Kluyveromyces lactis: one gene and its partners. The protein of the gene in region 4 binds, or shares a complex with, the protein of the main gene of each other region. Links are inferred from orthologs where the notes say so. Each region holds a gene or a part of one and is shown on either strand. Other genes may lie near its edges. The genes, in order: MRPL10, MRPL15, MRPL22, MRPL11, IMG1, RML2 and MHR1.

Evidence for each region.
Region 1: MRPL11 (region 4) and MRPL10 share a complex: the UniProt entries of both Saccharomyces cerevisiae proteins name them as parts of the mitochondrial large ribosomal subunit. The link is inferred for Kluyveromyces lactis from reciprocal best matches to the Saccharomyces cerevisiae genes MRPL11 and MRPL10.
Region 2: MRPL11 (region 4) and MRPL15 share a complex: the UniProt entries of both Saccharomyces cerevisiae proteins name them as parts of the mitochondrial large ribosomal subunit. The link is inferred for Kluyveromyces lactis from reciprocal best matches to the Saccharomyces cerevisiae genes MRPL11 and MRPL15.
Region 3: MRPL11 (region 4) and MRPL22 share a complex: the UniProt entries of both Saccharomyces cerevisiae proteins name them as parts of the mitochondrial large ribosomal subunit. The link is inferred for Kluyveromyces lactis from reciprocal best matches to the Saccharomyces cerevisiae genes MRPL11 and MRPL22.
Region 5: MRPL11 (region 4) and IMG1 share a complex: the UniProt entries of both Saccharomyces cerevisiae proteins name them as parts of the mitochondrial large ribosomal subunit. The link is inferred for Kluyveromyces lactis from reciprocal best matches to the Saccharomyces cerevisiae genes MRPL11 and IMG1.
Region 6: MRPL11 (region 4) and RML2 share a complex: the UniProt entries of both Saccharomyces cerevisiae proteins name them as parts of the mitochondrial large ribosomal subunit. The link is inferred for Kluyveromyces lactis from reciprocal best matches to the Saccharomyces cerevisiae genes MRPL11 and RML2.
Region 7: MRPL11 (region 4) and MHR1 share a complex: the UniProt entries of both Saccharomyces cerevisiae proteins name them as parts of the mitochondrial large ribosomal subunit. The link is inferred for Kluyveromyces lactis from reciprocal best matches to the Saccharomyces cerevisiae genes MRPL11 and MHR1.

Annotation. Positions count from the first base shown.
Region 1 is NC_006039.1:1,033,445-1,036,001, forward strand, and holds MRPL10 (mitochondrial 54S ribosomal protein uL15m), read right to left. Parts: upstream 1,431-2,557; coding exon 501-1,430; downstream 1-500. Other genes in the region: KLLA0_C12111g (uncharacterized protein), read left to right, coding at 1-327; WSC2 (Wsc2p), read right to left, coding at 2,313-2,557. UniProt on the Saccharomyces cerevisiae protein: Component of the mitochondrial ribosome (mitoribosome), a dedicated translation machinery responsible for the synthesis of mitochondrial genome-encoded proteins, including at least some of the essential transmembrane subunits of the mitochondrial respiratory chain.
Region 2 is NC_006039.1:1,528,070-1,530,439, forward strand, and holds MRPL15 (mitochondrial 54S ribosomal protein mL57), read right to left. Parts: upstream 1,227-2,370; coding exon 501-1,226; downstream 1-500. Other genes in the region: KLLA0_C17380g (uncharacterized protein), read left to right, coding at 1-6; RNA-dependent ATPase ROK1, read left to right, coding at 1,872-2,370. UniProt on the Saccharomyces cerevisiae protein: Component of the mitochondrial ribosome (mitoribosome), a dedicated translation machinery responsible for the synthesis of mitochondrial genome-encoded proteins, including at least some of the essential transmembrane subunits of the mitochondrial respiratory chain.
Region 3 is NC_006040.1:702,267-704,854, forward strand, and holds MRPL22 (mitochondrial 54S ribosomal protein uL22m), read left to right. Parts: upstream 1-1,188; coding exon 1,189-2,088; downstream 2,089-2,588. Other genes in the region: TDA7 (Tda7p), read left to right, coding at 1-787; SHR3 (Shr3p), read right to left, coding at 2,331-2,588. UniProt on the Saccharomyces cerevisiae protein: Component of the mitochondrial ribosome (mitoribosome), a dedicated translation machinery responsible for the synthesis of mitochondrial genome-encoded proteins, including at least some of the essential transmembrane subunits of the mitochondrial respiratory chain.
Region 4 is NC_006037.1:292,829-295,512, reverse strand, and holds MRPL11 (mitochondrial 54S ribosomal protein uL10m), read left to right. Parts: upstream 1-1,446; coding exon 1,447-2,184; downstream 2,185-2,684. Other genes in the region: KLLA0_A03289g (putative nitronate monooxygenase), read left to right, coding at 1-688; TRM8 (tRNA (guanine46-N7)-methyltransferase), read left to right, coding at 2,498-2,684. UniProt on the Saccharomyces cerevisiae protein: Component of the mitochondrial ribosome (mitoribosome), a dedicated translation machinery responsible for the synthesis of mitochondrial genome-encoded proteins, including at least some of the essential transmembrane subunits of the mitochondrial respiratory chain.
Region 5 is NC_006042.1:571,743-574,024, reverse strand, and holds IMG1 (mitochondrial 54S ribosomal protein bL19m), read right to left. Parts: upstream 1,017-2,282; coding exon 501-1,016; downstream 1-500. Other genes in the region: BUD23 (18S rRNA (guanine1575-N7)-methyltransferase), read right to left, coding at 1,326-2,129. UniProt on the Saccharomyces cerevisiae protein: Component of the mitochondrial ribosome (mitoribosome), a dedicated translation machinery responsible for the synthesis of mitochondrial genome-encoded proteins, including at least some of the essential transmembrane subunits of the mitochondrial respiratory chain.
Region 6 is NC_006037.1:183,120-186,222, forward strand, and holds RML2 (mitochondrial 54S ribosomal protein uL2m), read right to left. Parts: upstream 1,707-3,103; coding exon 501-1,706; downstream 1-500. Other genes in the region: KLLA0_A02013g (putative aminopeptidase), read left to right, coding at 1-328; ERD1 (Erd1p), read left to right, coding at 3,101-3,103. UniProt on the Saccharomyces cerevisiae protein: Component of the mitochondrial ribosome (mitoribosome), a dedicated translation machinery responsible for the synthesis of mitochondrial genome-encoded proteins, including at least some of the essential transmembrane subunits of the mitochondrial respiratory chain.
Region 7 is NC_006039.1:893,436-895,764, forward strand, and holds MHR1 (mitochondrial 54S ribosomal protein mL67), read right to left. Parts: upstream 1,161-2,329; coding exon 501-1,160; downstream 1-500. Other genes in the region: GTPase-activating protein NEL1, read left to right, coding at 1,587-2,329. UniProt on the Saccharomyces cerevisiae protein: Component of the mitochondrial ribosome (mitoribosome), a dedicated translation machinery responsible for the synthesis of mitochondrial genome-encoded proteins, including at least some of the essential transmembrane subunits of the mitochondrial respiratory chain.

The DNA of each region.
Region 1 (2,557 bases), on a different chromosome or scaffold from region 4:
ATGGCTGAGGATGCTGAATTTGAAGTGGTAGGAGATGCCTCTGAGACATTCCAATTGATATATTTCTTCCCGGATTTAGTCAAACCAGTACTTGAGCCAATATTTGATTACCTTTACCAGAAGTTTATTGTTGATTGGCGTATTGCAACTCCGTTTAGAGTATACGATATCGAACAAGCTAACATTTTGGCTCAAAAGAGGGGTGCTAAGCCTGTTGAAGGCTCTGAAGCGGAAGAAAGAAGGAAAAAGTTAGCCCTACAGGTTCTCGAAGAAAGATTGTTGGACAACAAAAACACAGAGTCTTCTACTCCACAAAACGATGTGTAAAAGTGAGACAAGCTCATTCTTATATTTTTAGACTTTAGAGCATTAAATAGACAAAAGTTGCTACAACTTGTGAATACAGATATCAATTTGATTGATATGGTGTATAAATCTGGAGAAATGGCGTTGAATGATGTGTATTATATACAGGGCATTTCTATATTGCTATATGATGTTCAGTTTGATTTAATTTCAGAATTTGGAGAAGCAGGAGCAAAATCGTTCTCAAGTTGCTCTAATTGCAACTCAAGCTTGGACTTCTTGGTCTTCCGAGCAACCAAATTTTTACCGCCTTCATCTTTGGATTTCTGCAAAAGTTGATAGTATGGGTCATTTTCCATAATCAAATAACCTCTCTTTTCTTCGTTACAGTAATATTCAATATCCTTCCTCTTTGTGGGTCTAGCTTGTAGAGGAACTCTTCCGTACTTTTCTAGGAACCAATGTGGTGATAAATGGGCTCTTAGACCAAGACGGTTGAAATAACGAGCAGTGAAACTTCCGCCTGCATGTTCGATTGCCTCAATTGCATCCTGTGAAGCTCTAGTAGCTTCAATCTTGATTGGAAGATTATAAGAGAATTTACCATCACCTAGAATCTTAATACCATCTTTGATCGGGCCGGTAACCAAACCGATTTCTTTCATCTTTTTCATCGTCAAGGTTTCACCTGGCTCCAAATGTAGGCGACCCTTTTGGTGGAACCACGTTATTCTATCAAGGTTTAATTCTTTCAATTTTAGTGATGTTACGTTGGTGAACCCTAGCTTTGGGAACAATTTGAAGATTGGGGTTTGACCACCTTCAAACCATGATTTTACATAACCACGGGCCTTTTGACCCTTTTGACCTCTACCAGCAGTCTTACCTTTGCCACTGGATGGACCTCTACCCAATCTTTTGTAGTTCTTCTTAGAGCCTTCACCAGGTTTTAAACCACCAAGGATCGTGATTTGGCGTACAAATGATCTCTGTATAAGTGATCCAAAGGGATTCACCACTTTGTTGATCGAAAACATCGTGCTAGTATTGTGAGACCTCGAGATAGGGCTATTAAATATCGATAATAGTAGATATCCAGTAGATTCATTGAATATCCAAATCATCTCCAGTAATTTCTTGTAAGTTAACCATATTCATTCTAAAAAATTTTCGAAATTAGGTATTCGGGTAACCTTTTAAAATGCTGAGATTCGCTAGGACACAGAGGGAGCTTGGAGACGATAAGAGGGTATGCAATGCTGATGTAAGTGTTTAGATGCGCCTAGCAGATTGACAAATTGAAACAGCCGAAACTATTTCAGTAAACCTACTATTATTTTAGCATCACGTTTTTCAAAAATGTAGCTGTAACATTATAAACTGCGTATTCCTCAGTTCAAAATAGGTTAGGTCCACCAGAAAAGAATTGGTAGCAGGCAATAATCTCGTAGGAGTATATAGTGGTAAATTCTTTTTATGACAAGAAACAGCTTCTATGGCCAAGTTGGTAAGGCGCCACACTAGTAATGTGGAGATCATCAGTTCGACTCTGGTTGGAAGCATTTTTTTGGATCCCTTAAACAATTACCCTAGATGAAAATGTAGCACAATAATTCCCGACAGTAAACATGACAATTAACCATTATAAAGATACCTTGAAGTAAAATGTGAAGAAATTAAATGAGTATTATAACGTTATATATGTACATATGTGAAAGCCCAACTTATCAGTATAACATAAATCGTTTCGATATATTTTGTGACTTGTCTTGTTTATAGTGTTAGACAATTAACTGATCCTCAGTTGATAGTTTTCATTAGGGGTATCAAGTATCAGTAGTGAGTATGGAACATGGCTTATTGTGGGCCTTAGTTGATGTTTTATATTTGGAATATTTCCTTTTGGCGTTTGTTTTGTTTGACAACAACAAGGGGATGATATTGGGTATATCATGCTATTATCTTAGCGAAATGTGTTAAAAAGATGATGTTATATTGTATCAGGATCAATCTCCCCTGAGATTTTCGATGATCGAATTGAATTCTGTATCCTCATCATCCAGCTCATCTGGATTGGCGATTCTTAGCGGTCGCCTTTGTTGAGTTACATCTGGTAAAGAACCATTGCTGAATCTAGGATTTCCCATTGTCGGACGTACAGGAGGTTGTGTTAGGTCTGGTTGATCCATAGTTTCTCCAAACGGACTAACGATTTGCGAATCACTGATTTCGTTTCCATTATTATCCAATC
Region 2 (2,370 bases), on a different chromosome or scaffold from region 4:
AAGTAAATTACCAGCAAAAAACATCCCTTCTATGAAGTTATATATGTATTTATATACATGTATTGTATTATGTACTTTTCTTAATCTGTTTTTATTTTGTATGTTAACATTTAATTAATGATAGATTTAGTTGTAAATTTATGTACGTCTATATTTCTAGAGATACATGAGATATATACAGTGCGCGCGTTTCTTTCGAGGTTCATTTTTAATTGAAGTGTGACGATGGAGTGTCGTTAAAAGGTTATGCTTTTCATGCTTTTGGTAAATTCATTATAATAAAACGTTGAAATTGAGCAGGGATGAAAGAGTAGATTAAAACACCACATTGACCAAGAGCTGTGATTGAAACTTCCGTTTCGAAATATATATATACAAGTTTTGAAAGCTCTTTCCCAACTCCGATGGAGACCATTCACTCGAGTGCTTTTTATTGATGTCGAAGTCTATTGTGTATTCCATTTCTCTTTCTTTCCTGTCGTGTAAAATTAGACATAATATTATAACTTCTCGGTCGTATCCCTGTTTGCTAACAAACTTTCAGATATCTTCGTTAGGGAATCACTATTGTCGCTGAATAGTTCATGCAACACGTATTCGGTGGCCTTGTCTTGACCGTGCAATAGATAGACACTGCCGACCACAGAATTTAGCACAGTTTGTAGCACGGTATACTCACCGTTATATTTGTGACTTTTTTGAGTGTCTCGTTTGTTCCAAAACACTAATTTATCTAGGTTTCTCCTTTGCAAAAATTCAGCCGTACTCTGTTTGGATATTAACATTTTAGAACTTCCCTTCCCAAGCATACCGAAATTTAGTCCGTTAATAACAGGTTCAGACTGTACGCTTTGTGATAGTTGCCTTTCAGAAACAGGTAGACCCAAGGAATGAAGACAAGCTTGATATTTCACAAAATGACCACCGATAATAGACAATTTCTGATTGTATGGTTTAATACCTTGGGCAAACGACTTGTGAGTCAAACATTGTGTAATGATGTCGTCTGGCAAGTCAATACCATATTTTTCCAAATTCAAACCTTGCTTAACAGTAGATACATGGCCATCCTTGACAAGAGAATCATAGTGCAAACCGTGTGGATTCTTCAAAGACTCAACTGGGTCTCTTTTCAAACCACGTACCCTAGTCCCAACGTGTAGATAAGAACCATTACGCACGCCGAATTTTGTGCTTAAGTTAAGACCAATTTTGGTTAAGGACATTATTCCAGAAGTAAAAAAATACTGTCTGAATGGTTTCTGTCTGGTATTTTCACAATTCAATCTTCCTCGACCGAATATCAACAGATTGTAATTACACAGGACACAAATATTAGAATTATTGAATCTTAATTCTAACAGTTTAGTCCTTTTAACTACGATTCAAACTGTTTCTTTGTAGTTTTTCGACTCGAGGCAGCGATCCAAATTTTGAAATTTTTCAAAATTTTTCAGATCACTCCAAACGAGGTCATCGCTGTGTCTAAGTGCTATCTTGTATGATGGGAATACATGCAATATCAAGGCATTAGGTACTGTTATCAAGGGAATATGGTCATTATGGGCTGGTATTATGAGGGCTTAATACCAGCTGTATCTTAAAGTAAGCTTTGCTGCATCTTTATGCCTTGAGAAGTACTTTTATATCGATTTTTACACTTATTGTACCCTAAGTTTTGTGAAAAGAAACGCTTCAGTAAGATCAATTTTAATTGAAAAAACTGCAATTAGATGTAGGCGATGAGATGAGATGAGATGAGATGAGAGAGTAGTAAGAGATTGATTATATCACTCACAGTGGTTTACTATCGAATTTATTCTCATTACTAAGTAACTTCTCACAGGCCAATACTAGCACCGCTAATTAACATGGATATCTTTAGAGTCTTGACTCGTGGAGCTAGCATAAGGAAGAATGGTGATTCTAATAGAACACAGTCTGCAGACTTTAGCATGGCTAATGAAAAGAAGAGTAAGACAGCTGGCAGCTCAAGTACACCAGCTAGAGATGAACAACAATTGACTAAGGAGTTGGATTTTTTCCGTAATAAGAAAATCATGAATAAGGTAAAGTCTGAGTCAACCAAAGGTGAAGGTGAAGACGAAGTACAAGAAGATAATCAAGAAGAAGACGAAGATCATGCTGATGACGAGACTGAGTTATCCGGGAAAATTATCACGAAACAAGATGCGTTAAAGTTACGTAAATCTTATCAAGGGAATGTTTCAGGGAATAGTGTTCCTTTGCCCATCGGTTCTTTTGAAGACTTGATCACAAGGTTCCAATTCGATAAGAGATTGTTAAACAACCTCATAGAAAATAACTTCACTGAACCAACTCCGATTCAAAGTGAATCTATACCGATTT
Region 3 (2,588 bases), on a different chromosome or scaffold from region 4:
AGAATACACATCTGTTGAGGGTACAGAAGCTACTGCCACTGTGCCTACACCGACTTGGTTAACGTTGACCACTGAAGTACCGTCTTCTGAAACTGTGGTTTATTACACACGAGATTTCATCTTTACTGACACTTCAACCACCTTTACTAAAGGACTACCGACACTTACAGTGATACCCACAGAGGCTACTTTCACTACACCTACAGGTCCAGTTGTGACTGACACATCTTTTTACGAAAGATGGCTATCTGGCGCATTGGATTCCAACTCAACATCGTCTGGATCAAATAAAGATACAATAATCGGTGGTGTAATAGGAAGCGTGGGAGGTCTGGCGCTAATGATACTGGTGATCTATTTATTATTTAGGAAGAGACGAAGGAGAAATCTTATCGAACACGAAAAGAGCTTCTCCCACGACATTGGGAGAAAAATGGGATACGACGATATCGGAACGTTTATTGCACAGTCTCAGCAAACCACCAAGACTACAACCAGAGTATCGACGACTGCTCATAATAATAACAAAGTTTCAAAAAGTTTGCCCTCAGTGCCTCCATATGTTGCAGATTCTGTCAGGAGGCCACAGACGACAAATCCATTCGACGACGAATATGTTGTATCGATTGCAGATCCAGAGTCTCAGACGCCTTCCACAACATCACTACATTCATCCTTTGTGTCATCTTCCACCGATGAGGGTACACATGACACTGAAATGTCAGTTACTTACGATGAAAACCCACAGAACGCTCACGGATATTTAACGGAACTAATCGAACACTGATCTTACCAAACTCTAATTACAAAGTTTTCAAATTTGTACTTAAATTTTCCCTTCTATTCAATATACTTCTTTGTGCATCTTCAGTTATATAGTTCATATTTAAGGTTTAATTCCTAGCAATTCCACACTAACGCTTTTCTAATTTGTGATCTTACAACCCGTCAAGATAGTCGGACTTCAATATCTTCCTCCACACAGTAGAACCATTCCTTATATCTTCATGCCCGTTCACGATGATTTATATTTCCTAACCATCGAACAAAAAAATTTTGATAATCAAACATTGTACAGAAGAAGGATTGATCAAAGTAATAAAATGCCTACAGTATAATACTAGAGGCACGTGTAAATTACATGGTTAGTTGCAGGCTCTGTCATCAGTTCAACCTATATAAAATTTAATGCTATCGAGGACAGTAACTAGCCTGTTCGGCTTGGGAAAGGCTTCCGGTGTAAGAAGTTTTCAAGCTTCAGCATTGCAGCTACAAAAATCTGCACAAGGTTCGCTATTCGGTGAAGTCACCGATGGAGTGAATCCGTTGAAGGATGACGATCCAAATAAACTATCTAATAAGTTGACTACTGCTACCGAACTGTCAGATGATTTGGATGCTGCTACCCAGCTGGCAGAGGCTAAAAAGAAAGTTACAGCAGCCAATGATACACAATTACAGAAATATATCGAAGAACAAGACCCCATGATCAAAAGTTTACCAGAATTTTTGTTACCAAGAGTTAAGAAGGAATTCTATGAACAACAGGTTAGGTTGAACGGTGGGTTTTACGACAAAAGCGTGCGCCCTAAAGATCGTTCTTTGAGATTAACGAATGAAGAATTAGAAGTGCTTGAACCTAGTGTCTATGTTAAATCTTACAGAGTAAAATCATCTATGAAGAAGGCCACACAGCTGCTTAGACTTTTGAACGGATTGGACGCTAAGAAAGCTTTGACTCAATGTCATTTCTCCGATAAAAAGGTTGCCCGTGATGTTGCCGAATTATTGGAGCGCGGTATTAATGATGGTGTGAAGCTTGGCTTGGATGCCAATGACCTATACATCTCCCAGATATGGACCGGCAGTGATGGATTTTGGCAAAAACGTGTCGAATGGAAGGGTAGAGGTAGACGTGGTCTCATTGAACACCCATATGTGCATATCAAATGCATATTGAAGACCAAGAGTGTAACGAAGAGAAGACTAGAGCACGAAGCCAAACTAAAAGAACAAAGGAAGAAACCGTGGGTTCAATTAGCAGATAAACCCATCAGAGGTTCTATGGGTGGTGTTTACAAATGGTAATGAGATATTAAACATTATCATATTACGTTTATTTCCAATGATAATGGGTGAAGATAATATACAGCAATTAAATCATCAATAATAAGGTCCTTAGATTGTCTTTGGGTTTCATCTCAAGTTATCCATGTCGGAATAGCCAAGTATTTCATATCATTTATATAATATATAGAACAAGAGCTTGTAAATAGTGAAAGCAACGCGAAATACTTCACCGCATCAAACTGTAAGGAAACAAATTTCGTCTATTTCTTCTTCTTAGATTCCGTTTTAGCTGGTTCAGTAGTTTTCTCCGCCTTCTGTTGGTTAGCGGCAGATTCCTTCAATTGGTCTTTCCTCCATTGATCTAATCTTTGTTCATATTCCCAGGTACTGTACCACAAACCTCCTTGCAACACTAAGACACCAGCAAAGACAATTAAAATAATGATATTGGAAGAGGCAACAACAGCAATACCTTGCGCCTCAGAGACTTCACCCCAGTTATGGTAAACCGCAGATTC
Region 4 (2,684 bases):
GAAAGTGGTTAGTTTCCATTTCGGAGTGCCATCTGCGAGCACTTTAAAATCATTGAAGCAAGCGGGAGTTGTCACGATGGCAAGTGTGACTCAATTAAGTGAGGCTGAATTGGCTATTGGGCACGGGATAGATATCCTAATCGCTCAAGGTGTCGAAGCGGGTGGTCATCGGGGAATGTTTAACGCATCATTAGATCCGGCAATATCCACGAGAGATTTGGTGAAATTACTAAAAGCAAAGTTGGGCACAACTATTCCTATAGTAGCAGCAGGAGGAATAATGTCTGGTCAAGATATTAAAGGAATGATGGAAGTAGGTGCCAGTGGTGCTCAATTAGGAACCGCATTTGTCCAATGCAAAGAATCGGCTGCGTCAGAAAATTACAGGAAATTATTATTTGACAAAACAAGAAATGACATAACTCAAATCACAAGCAGCATATCAGGTCGTCCGGCGCGAGCTTTGTTGAATAGTTGGCACACTGAGGTGGATATTCCAACTAGAGTGATACATCCAGGGTATCCATTTACATACGATGTGGGGAAGCAGTTAAATGCCGTGTCTATTCCAGATCATGATGGTACCGCAAATTCTTTCGCAGCACATTGGGCAGGATCCAATGTCAGCCGTATCCGTGATATGGATGCGAGACAACTAATGCAAACCCTTGTCGATGAGATGAGATAATTTTCCAGACCGTTACAGCACAGAGCTATGCTGTTTCAAATGTACGAAAATCCCGAATAGCGACAAATTCCACAATGGAACGATGAAGTTACACTAATTGTGCATTATTCTCGTCAGTTACATGACTGCATTTATTTTTTCAATGACGAAGTAGAGTTGCATCTCTTCACAATTTCACTACGACCCTATAAATCCCGGACTACCTTTTGTAAGGAAGAAATCTAATCTTTCGACATCCCTCCTAGCTTGGACAGGAGACGTCTATAACGGATTACATTATTTAAGCATGATGTTGACGATAGCAATGACAGTTTGCAGTTCGAAAAGAAGAGCAGAACTCACCAATTCCTCTATCATTTTAATTTGAACAGTCACGTGAATCGACCTTTGCCTCATTCGGGATTATATATACTATAAAGAAGATATATAAAAAATTACCAATATACATTTTTTGCTGCCATGGAAAATATACGAGAAAGTCTTCATTCCCTTCTCCATTGTTGATACCGATTTTGGCACTCATACCACTTCCAATTACCATTCATACCTTCTTACATTGAATCTAACTATGCCTCTCGTCGGTTTATTGTACCAAGTATTGAAATTCGACGATACTGAAAAATCTGAAAAAAAATGAAAAATCTGAAAAATCACTGAAGATTGATATATTGTAGTGAAGAGATATATTGGTGGGAATGAATTCGCTTAAAGTGATTCGAATCCACAGCTCAGGTCATCACCAACCACTCAAAATAGCCATGTTGTCACTTTTGTTAAGAAGCCCAGTGGTGGTATCCCGTGTCTCATATGCTTCTCCGTTTTTGGTTAGGAGGTTTGCCTCTACGCAAATTGAGAGAACTGTCTCGGATGCAGTTAGAAGAACAGTAAAGCCTTTGGACTCTCGTAAGACTTTCCTAATCGACTCTTACAAAAACCTGATGGAAACCAGTCCGGTAATGTTGTTTTGTCATCATAACAATTTGATGAAAGGGGAGAATGCACACTTCAGAGAAGAAATTAATAAGGTAGGAGGCAAGTTAACAATCTTGAGAAACAATTTGTTCCAAGTATACTTGAGAAACTCACGCAAAAATGACCCAGCTGCTCCAGCGAAACGTTCAGAACAAGACTGGAAGCATCCTTTACTGCCCTTGTTCAAAGGTCCTACGGCAGCAATTTCGTTCCCAGAGACTGATCCGGCAAAGGTAAAAAAAGTCATGAAATTATTGGAAAAAGCCCAAGACAAGTTATTCGTTATTGGCGCCAAAGTTGAAAATGATGCGTACGATTTGAGACAATTGGATTCTTTCAAGGATCTACCAACAAAAAGTCAATTACAATCAGAATTACTGGGACTATTGCACGTCTTGAGCGGTGCTGGTTTAGTTCAAACTTTAGAAGCTGGCTCAAACATGTTGTACCTAACTCTAAAGTCTCACGAAGATAATATTAACCCAGATAAGCAGAAAAACGAGAATGACAGCGAAGGAAATTAAAGTCTTTTGCCCCATCATGAAATGTAATATAAATCATTTTTACGTATCGATGTACTTAAATAAACCCATCACATATTAATATAAACTCCTGTACATATTCTTTGCACGTGACTTTTTTTGATCTCATTTGTATATTGTAAAGAAATAAAAAGTTTTTGAACATGCACTGAATCAATTGAGTCGAGAAAACCTAGGCGATGAGGTTACAATTTTTCAAAGCAGTTACTTCCACCAACCGTTAATGTGTGTTGAATAAACATAATTGAATTCTAACAGTGACTCAAATTTCCTATAACTGCCTTTGTTAGAAAATATGAGTTTTAGTACTAGACGCCAGGCGTATCGTGCTGAGAAGCAAGATCATCGCAAAGAATTGAAACATGTCAAGATCGATGAATCTGTGATTGAAAAGGTGGATAAACTATCTTTACCTAAAAAAAAGTTTTACAGACAAAGAGCACATTCGAATCCATTCAGTGATCATCAGTTGGAGTATCCAA
Region 5 (2,282 bases), on a different chromosome or scaffold from region 4:
CGGCTGGTACGGCTTTCATAACATTATACCACTACTTTTTTGAACCAATCAAGAACCTTCATAAATTATCAAAAATGCGGACCAAAATTGCTTGTAATCTTTTCATTTCTAATAGAGCAACTTGCTCACTCAATGCAGCTTTGTTTTAGATAGAGCGTACAAATCCTTTCTTATGCTTATCCTTTCTCATGATTTTCCTTTCTTATTGGATGCACTTGATGAGGTATAAGGACTAGCATAATCCGCCTTTTTATTTTACAGATTATACAATTATATATCCACCCGACATGCTAATGATACAAATAACTTTACCTAGAGAAGCTGGACCTGCATAGAGTACCTTGCATTATGGTTCAACTCTGGAGCTCTTTCAACTTTGAATCTTCCTTGTCTTTGGGTTTGCATTGATATCGAGCATTACTTACTATATGTTTGAATTGCTTCTATGTACATGTTTCATTTTATGAAAATTCAGCAAGTGTTTGATAGTGTGAATGTGCTCATTTCTTCTTTCTCATACTTGCTTCCAAATCTCCGACATCCAATCTGGTGTTTCTGATGTAATAATGTTTACTTCTGCGTCTCTTACCATCCGCTCTTCTAATCAAATCAATTCTCTCTACCAATGGTGAGAAGATTGGCACTCTCATTTCCACACAGGTTTTATAAATATAATCTCTTAATAGAATGGATGTGTCTTGTACTATTGGCTTACGGTCTACCGATAGCACATATCCAGTAAAACTATCGTAGTTGCATTTCTTGGAATCGTAAACTACACGAAGAACATCACCTGCACGTAGACGATTTGGGTTTTTCTTTGAAACCATCTCTGTTTTTACACCAGTTGGGTCAAGTTGTTTTAGATCATGATCAGCTAGAGTCTTCACTACTAATGGGGAGGATATTCTTTCAACTGGTGGGTAAACTGGAATAATCTTTCTTCCACTCTTAGCTGGAAGTTGATAACTTCTAACAGATTGTCTGATAACGGTAGGTAGTAGTCTCTTTAACATTGTATGGGACTAATATAGTTTTGGAATGGGAACTTGATCTGACGGGTAGTAAAGGCTTAAACTCAAATATAAACTGCGCTTCAGTGCTTTCTTAACTCTTAGGTACTTATGTTTCCATCTTTTTTAACCAAAATTTTCGAATGTTCTTTCTATGGAAAACTACAACATAGGTTTGATGATCATTTTAAACGTTTTGATCATGGCAGATGCAATAGACACGGAAAATGGTGAATGAATGATAACGTTTCAGTCCATGTTTGCTGATTGTATTAAGTGCGTATCTACTAATTCTATATATGCAAGACCATACTAAAACCTAGGTCTTCTCTTTCTACCCGTAAACTTCGAGTCGAGAGCTACCTTTCTACCTCTTTTTTTCATCACCTCCTTCTTTCTGTTGATGTAATCCTTACTTGATTCAACTAGTTTCTTTTTACGCTCTCTCTTTACCATTAGATCTGCATCCATCTTAACACCATCCAAGTTGACTTGTTCATTCTGTTCTGTAGATCCGGAGCTTAATACCAAGTAGTACTTCTTGTTCTTTTTGGACTCGGGATCATCAATGACAAGGCCACCAGAGAATCCAGCTACTTTTGCTGCTCCCAAGATTTGGTCTATTTGATCATCATTCTTTGGATAGAATTGTGCTACAAATTTTCCTCCTTTCTTCAAACTAGCAAATAGTGTATTGAAGAACCTCATGAGCCTTCTCTTTGGATCGTTGTACGATGTGTCCGCATTACATAACCATTGAATCACAGATATACTAATTGCCGCATCAAATACACCTGCTCTAAATGGAATACCTTGACCTATATCGTGTAACATAAGATCACCTTCAACTTCTCTTTCTAGCGCTTCAGCTAACATACTAGGAGAAATGTCTAATCCACACCATATATGTCCTTCTTCAGTGATGATTTCACCACTTAAACCAGACCCACACCCAATATCCAAGATATATGATGTATGTGGCAGGTTGAGAAGTTCTAAGGCCCGAAGTGTCATTTTAGCTTGAATATGTTGCACTCTTGTGGAGCCACTATACTTCTTAGATTCACTGTCATTGTAAAACACTTCTGGTGGTGCCAAATCTTCTGGACGTGACATTTCGATCTCAAACTTCTTGTAATTGTTATCCTATTATACTTTATTCCCGTCAGTTGATTAACAGAGCATATCAATGCAAACAGCTTGCTCAAGTAGCCATTGTTAGTTCGTAAATGTTTGGCGATGACCGAGATGAGCTTTAAAATTTTGAAT
Region 6 (3,103 bases), about 110 kb from region 4:
TGAGCATGTTGGTGTCATTACTGATTATACCACGCCAGGTCTAACTGAATTTATTAAGTTGATTATAAGAAGATTCTTGGATATTCCTTACGTGGAAACGGAATGTGGATATGCATGTAGTGATCACGGAAGTGCAACGAAGAATGGATTCCCCGCTTCCTTTGTCATTGAAAGTGAGTTCAACAAATCTAACAAATACATTCACAGTACGATGGACACTTTAGACAGACTTTCATTTGATCACATGGCCCAGCATGTAAGGTTAGTCGTTGGTTCCTTATTCGAACTTGGGAACTGGGAATTTAAGCTGGAAGAAGAGACCAAATGATGCTCTGGATGTAGTAATCTAAACTTTGTTTAAAATAGAGTTGGTAACTGAACAGATGTTATGTTATTTCTTTAAATTAACTAGTTCTACGATATTTACAGGATGGAAGTCATTGAAATAAGTTTACAAAAACTGATGATATTTAAGATAGGATCAGTTGTGGGGAAGCTTATCATTGTCTAGCCTTTCTACCAGCCTTACCTCTTGGTCTATCTTTAACCTTCATTTTGTTTTGATGCTTACCCCTTCTTGTCTTGTAACCCTTGGCCAATTGACCCCATGGAGACATGGACAACTTTTTGGACTTAGATTTACCTCTACCACCACCGTGAGGATGGTCACATTTGTTCATTGCCACACCTCTGACAGTTGGTCTTATACCCAACCATCTAGATCTACCAGCTTTACCTAGAGAACGGTTTTGATGGTCAATATTTGAGACAACACCCATGGTAGCTGCAGCTTCCAATGATACGTAACGGTGCTCACCACTTTGTAGACGGACAACAGCTTTATTCTTTTCTGGGATCTTGGATAAGATACGTGCGTAAGAACCAGCAGCACGACAGAACTTACCTGGACCTGTAGGAGTGATACCAATATTATGAACGATGGATCCGATTGGGATCATAGAGATTGGTAGACAGTTACCTCTTTGAGCTGTTCTAACAGATAAGATGGCAGGATCGATCTTCCCACCCATTTCTTTCAAAAATGATGGTGGAATACCTTTTCTGTATGATTCGATGGTATCCCCAGCTCTTAGCCCATCACATGCTAAAATGTAGCTTAGGGCACCAGTATCGTTATGTTTTATCAATGCAATATGTGCACTTCTACCAGGATCGTATTCGATTCTTTCCACAGTTTGCATACCAGATTCGAAACGACTGAAATCGACTGTTCTCAATCTTCTTTTATGACCACCACCACGATGTCTCACCGTGATCTTACCACTATGGTTTCTACCACCATTTCCTCTCTTGGCAAGAGTCAAAGATTTAACAGGTCTTCCCTTATGCAAATATGGATAAATTGGCGCACGGTACCATCTCAAACCTGGAGAAACCGGTTTCAATTTCTTCATTTGTGTAACTTCCTTAGCCAACTTTCTTCTTCTTCTTAACAATTCGTCTTGCTTCTCTAGTGCTACCACATCTGTGTTATTAGGAACGATTTTCAACATATGGACATTGACATCGTCAACTGAAGATTGTTCTTCATTCCCGGTTGGAGTGATGCTGGCCATAGATCTGATTCCACCAAGTGAAGTATTGTTCAAAGACATTATCATCGAAACATTCCACGGAACTTGAACTCTTGAGGAGACGCCGCTGGCAAGCGGCGTCAGGCATCTCAAGTTGAATTGCTTGAACATGATATTATATCCAGAGCACCTAACGAGATTCTTAGGGTAAACCGTCTAATACCAATATCTCCGCTTTGCTACTGCCCTTCACAGAAATAATAAAATAACTCTGATCTTAATAAGATTTGTTATAGATATATCCACCCTTATATATATCAATATCCATAGTTTAAAATGTTTAAGTCATTGCAATTACATTGTTCATTTTTGTTAATATCAAAATCTTTCAAGCGATCTCTAATTTCAAACAGCTTCAATACCATCAGAGGAATATCGTCAAATGGAATTTTTTGCAAGAAGTATCACTATGAACGTATTCTGAATTTACCCGGATTATATAATATTTGGTCACGTGATTCAGGAAATCTTTGTGTACTTATTTTGTGCCCTAATGGCAGACCAGTCTCTCATGGTTAGATTGACTATTCTTTCTGTTTTATGGTTTTTAGTTTAAATAACTGGAAAAGTGAAAAATTTTGAGGTAAGTTTCTATCTCATCACGAATACTTTATTATCCGTTACAAAGCTTTTAATTAGAGTTAGAGACATAACCAACAAGGATTCGATTTGTAGTGTATCAGGAACAGGAGTTCCTGTTCGCAACGTATTCTGTCTTTTTTACTGAACTCAAACGGAAATCAAATTCCTCTTCATGTCGGGAAATGAACAAGTAAAAGGAACGACGAAGATAATGACTGTCTGTATGGAAATACCATCATTTGGATTGTTTTTTTTTTGAGTATATCGATTATGATGACCGCTGTCGCCCCAAACGGATTTCGAAAATATGAACGATTCGACTAGCATTAGCCAAACACTGAAAATTCTGATCAATCGATTACTTTATTAAAATAAACTGTCCAGGCAATACAGTACAAGTTATATCTTCTTGTTTGTTTGACTTTCTTCATTTCCGGATATATTCGGGTAGTCGAAGTGTACGTTAGATGTGTCAGTGGATTACTCGGCATTCTCTATCTTAAATATATAGACCTATTAATGATGAACTAAAAGTTTCCATGCTAATCATGAATAAAATTCAAAATTTTAAAGGATTAGAAACACGCTTTTTGTTATCTCTAACAGTCCTGAATACGTTTATATATAGCATTAGCTGTTCCATTCTTGTACTTGTAACTTGTGCTTTTCGGTAGTGTGTGTTTTTTTATTTTTGGTGCCGGTATCTGAATTGTAAACACGTCTTGAAAAGATGTCAATAGAAATAAAAGTGTTATCTTAGGACTAAAAACGTAGGATCCTAGATTATACAGAGCTCTGAGACAGTGAACCACAAATCTAAACCGTTAGCGATACACACAGGGCCTTTCTGAAAGGGATTTCTTCTGCTTCTATTCCTCCTTTTTTTGTTACATTTTTTTGATTCCTTATTTATACGTGCATTCATG
Region 7 (2,329 bases), on a different chromosome or scaffold from region 4:
TTATGCTAGAAAAACTAAGAAAAACCCGAAGCCTCTAAGGGAAAACAGGATTGTCGTTAAAGAAACACCAGAGAAAACCAGAGAAACGGTGTTAAGGTTTCTCAAATTTGGTCATGTGACATTTTTTTTGCTTTTTCTTTGGTGTCCGGGTTCCTGCTTCTTCTTCCGTTAGGCGTTAATGCATGCATGAGACACATATGGTATGAAGCGGTAGAAAAGTAGAGGAAGTAATATGATGATTACAGAACCTTTGATATTTAGGTTACGTGATGATGGAAACAAGGGAGAAAACTGCTAGTAATCACCTTGTCAAATCAGTTAAACGCCGGTAGTGAGCTGAGGGTTTGTTTATATTATTTACAGAGTCGGATTGTCTGCGGGTTATATATGTACATGTAGTGATTTCTTAAAGACGTGACGAGTGAAGCAGTGAAAGATCTGAGCTCGGCTCAGCTTTTGCAACTGGAAATAGTTTGTATTTGCTTGTTTTCTTTTGTAACTCATAGAGAGATGTTTTGAGCAGCTGACTCCTGTTGTCTCACTCTTGCGAACTCTTCTTTGGCTCTTTCGCCTAGTTCTTTCAAAATTGCACTTTCCTCTCTGGAAACGTTCCCCAAACGTTCTAGTGTTGTGTGATTCAACTCTGGCAATACTGGGTTCCAGTATTTCTCTTTATCCCCCATTCTCCATTCGTCTTCCCAATGGACCTTAATGGACGATTGGACGTCTTTCAACTTTAGGAGACATTCTCGCAAATCGGCAACCGCTTCTTGAGAGTATGTTGGTCTGTATTGCGATGAGTACCATGTGTGGCCGGACTCATTCTTCTTTCTCATGTCTTTTGCCTGTTTACTGAATGTCACATCACGGAGATATCTTAATCTGCACAAATTCTGGTATACTTTTACACTCTTGTCGTAGTCTGGTAGATCAACAACAGCCATACATTTCCAAATATCACGTCTGGTGCTTGGTTTCTTATTCTCCCAGTTGGGTCTTTGGAAATTGGTATCAATTTGCTTCCAAGAAAAAGTCGGGAATTGAGAGTACAGCACTTGTCCACTCTCTAGGTTTCTGAATAAAAAGACTTGTGGTGCATACCCTGCTTTCTGTAGCCAGTTGGCTGGACGGAACTTGGTAATAGCTAAATGCTTGCTCATCTCTTCCTAGTGCCCTATGGTGTCTTCAAGCCTTATTTGTTAACAACAAAAGCCTTGATCCTCAGAGTTCTCTTCTATCTCCAGTGCTATTGATGGACTTCTGAAGAGTTATTTAAATACAATGTGTGCACAAATGTGGTGATCTCTTCTGTAATCAAGCTAAACTAACTATCAGCTTTCTCTTTTTCAAAATTTTTCAGCTTTTTCAGATGCCATAAACAACTTCGTAGAAACACTGAAAATTAAAGAGAATGAACCTAATATATACATTACCCGGATCTTGTGATGATATTGAATTCTCCGCTACCTGCTCTATCTTATCTTGGATCTCATCTCCAGAGAAAGGTTTTCCTATCAGCAGACACGCACAGTAGAGTTATCACCTTCATCCGTCAAGTGTCCGCATATTCCACCATCTAGAACTTGATGTTTGAATTGAATTATGGAGCCGTTCCTACGTCCCGGACAGATTGCTTAGCTAGAGTTCTCGATTGTGGAGATGATAACCGTGGATCGATAAGTGCCATTTGTGAGCCGGACTTGACAATTGACGGGAATTCAAGCCTAGCAAGCAGTGAGAATTATACCAATTGTAAAATCTGTGGAGGGTTTGCGAATTTTTTATGTTCAAGAGATTCACGAGCTGGGTGGTTTTGTTCTTTTTGTAATGCTTATAATGAACTAGGGAATATTCCATTATCATCGTCATACCTAAAACATTTAGGAACTGCTGCTGTGCCTACGCATTCCAAGTTCGCCATAATCATCGATCTTAATTGTGAATTTGAGGAAAATCTAGACGCGTTGAAGATGTTACAATTTGGTTCTGTCCAGTCATTGGCCCTGATCACGATTGAAGATGGGTCTGTCACTATTCATACTGACGGGTCACACATTACCGTAGATGCAGAATCTAGTAGTTGTATCAGCCATCTTAAGAAGCTTGACACAGAATGGTTCATTGCAAAGTATGGGCTTTTAGTGAGGAAGATTTGGACGGACCAAATATCTTTCGGTGCTAAACTCGCGGAACTTCTATGTCAACGGACTAGGTCAAAAAAAAGATGTAGAAGAAACACTGCACTCGCTATTTTTCTAGCACAATGTCTAAACCCATCACAATCCATTGCATTTGTTTTCGGACCCTGTACAGTAGCACCAGGTAAGGT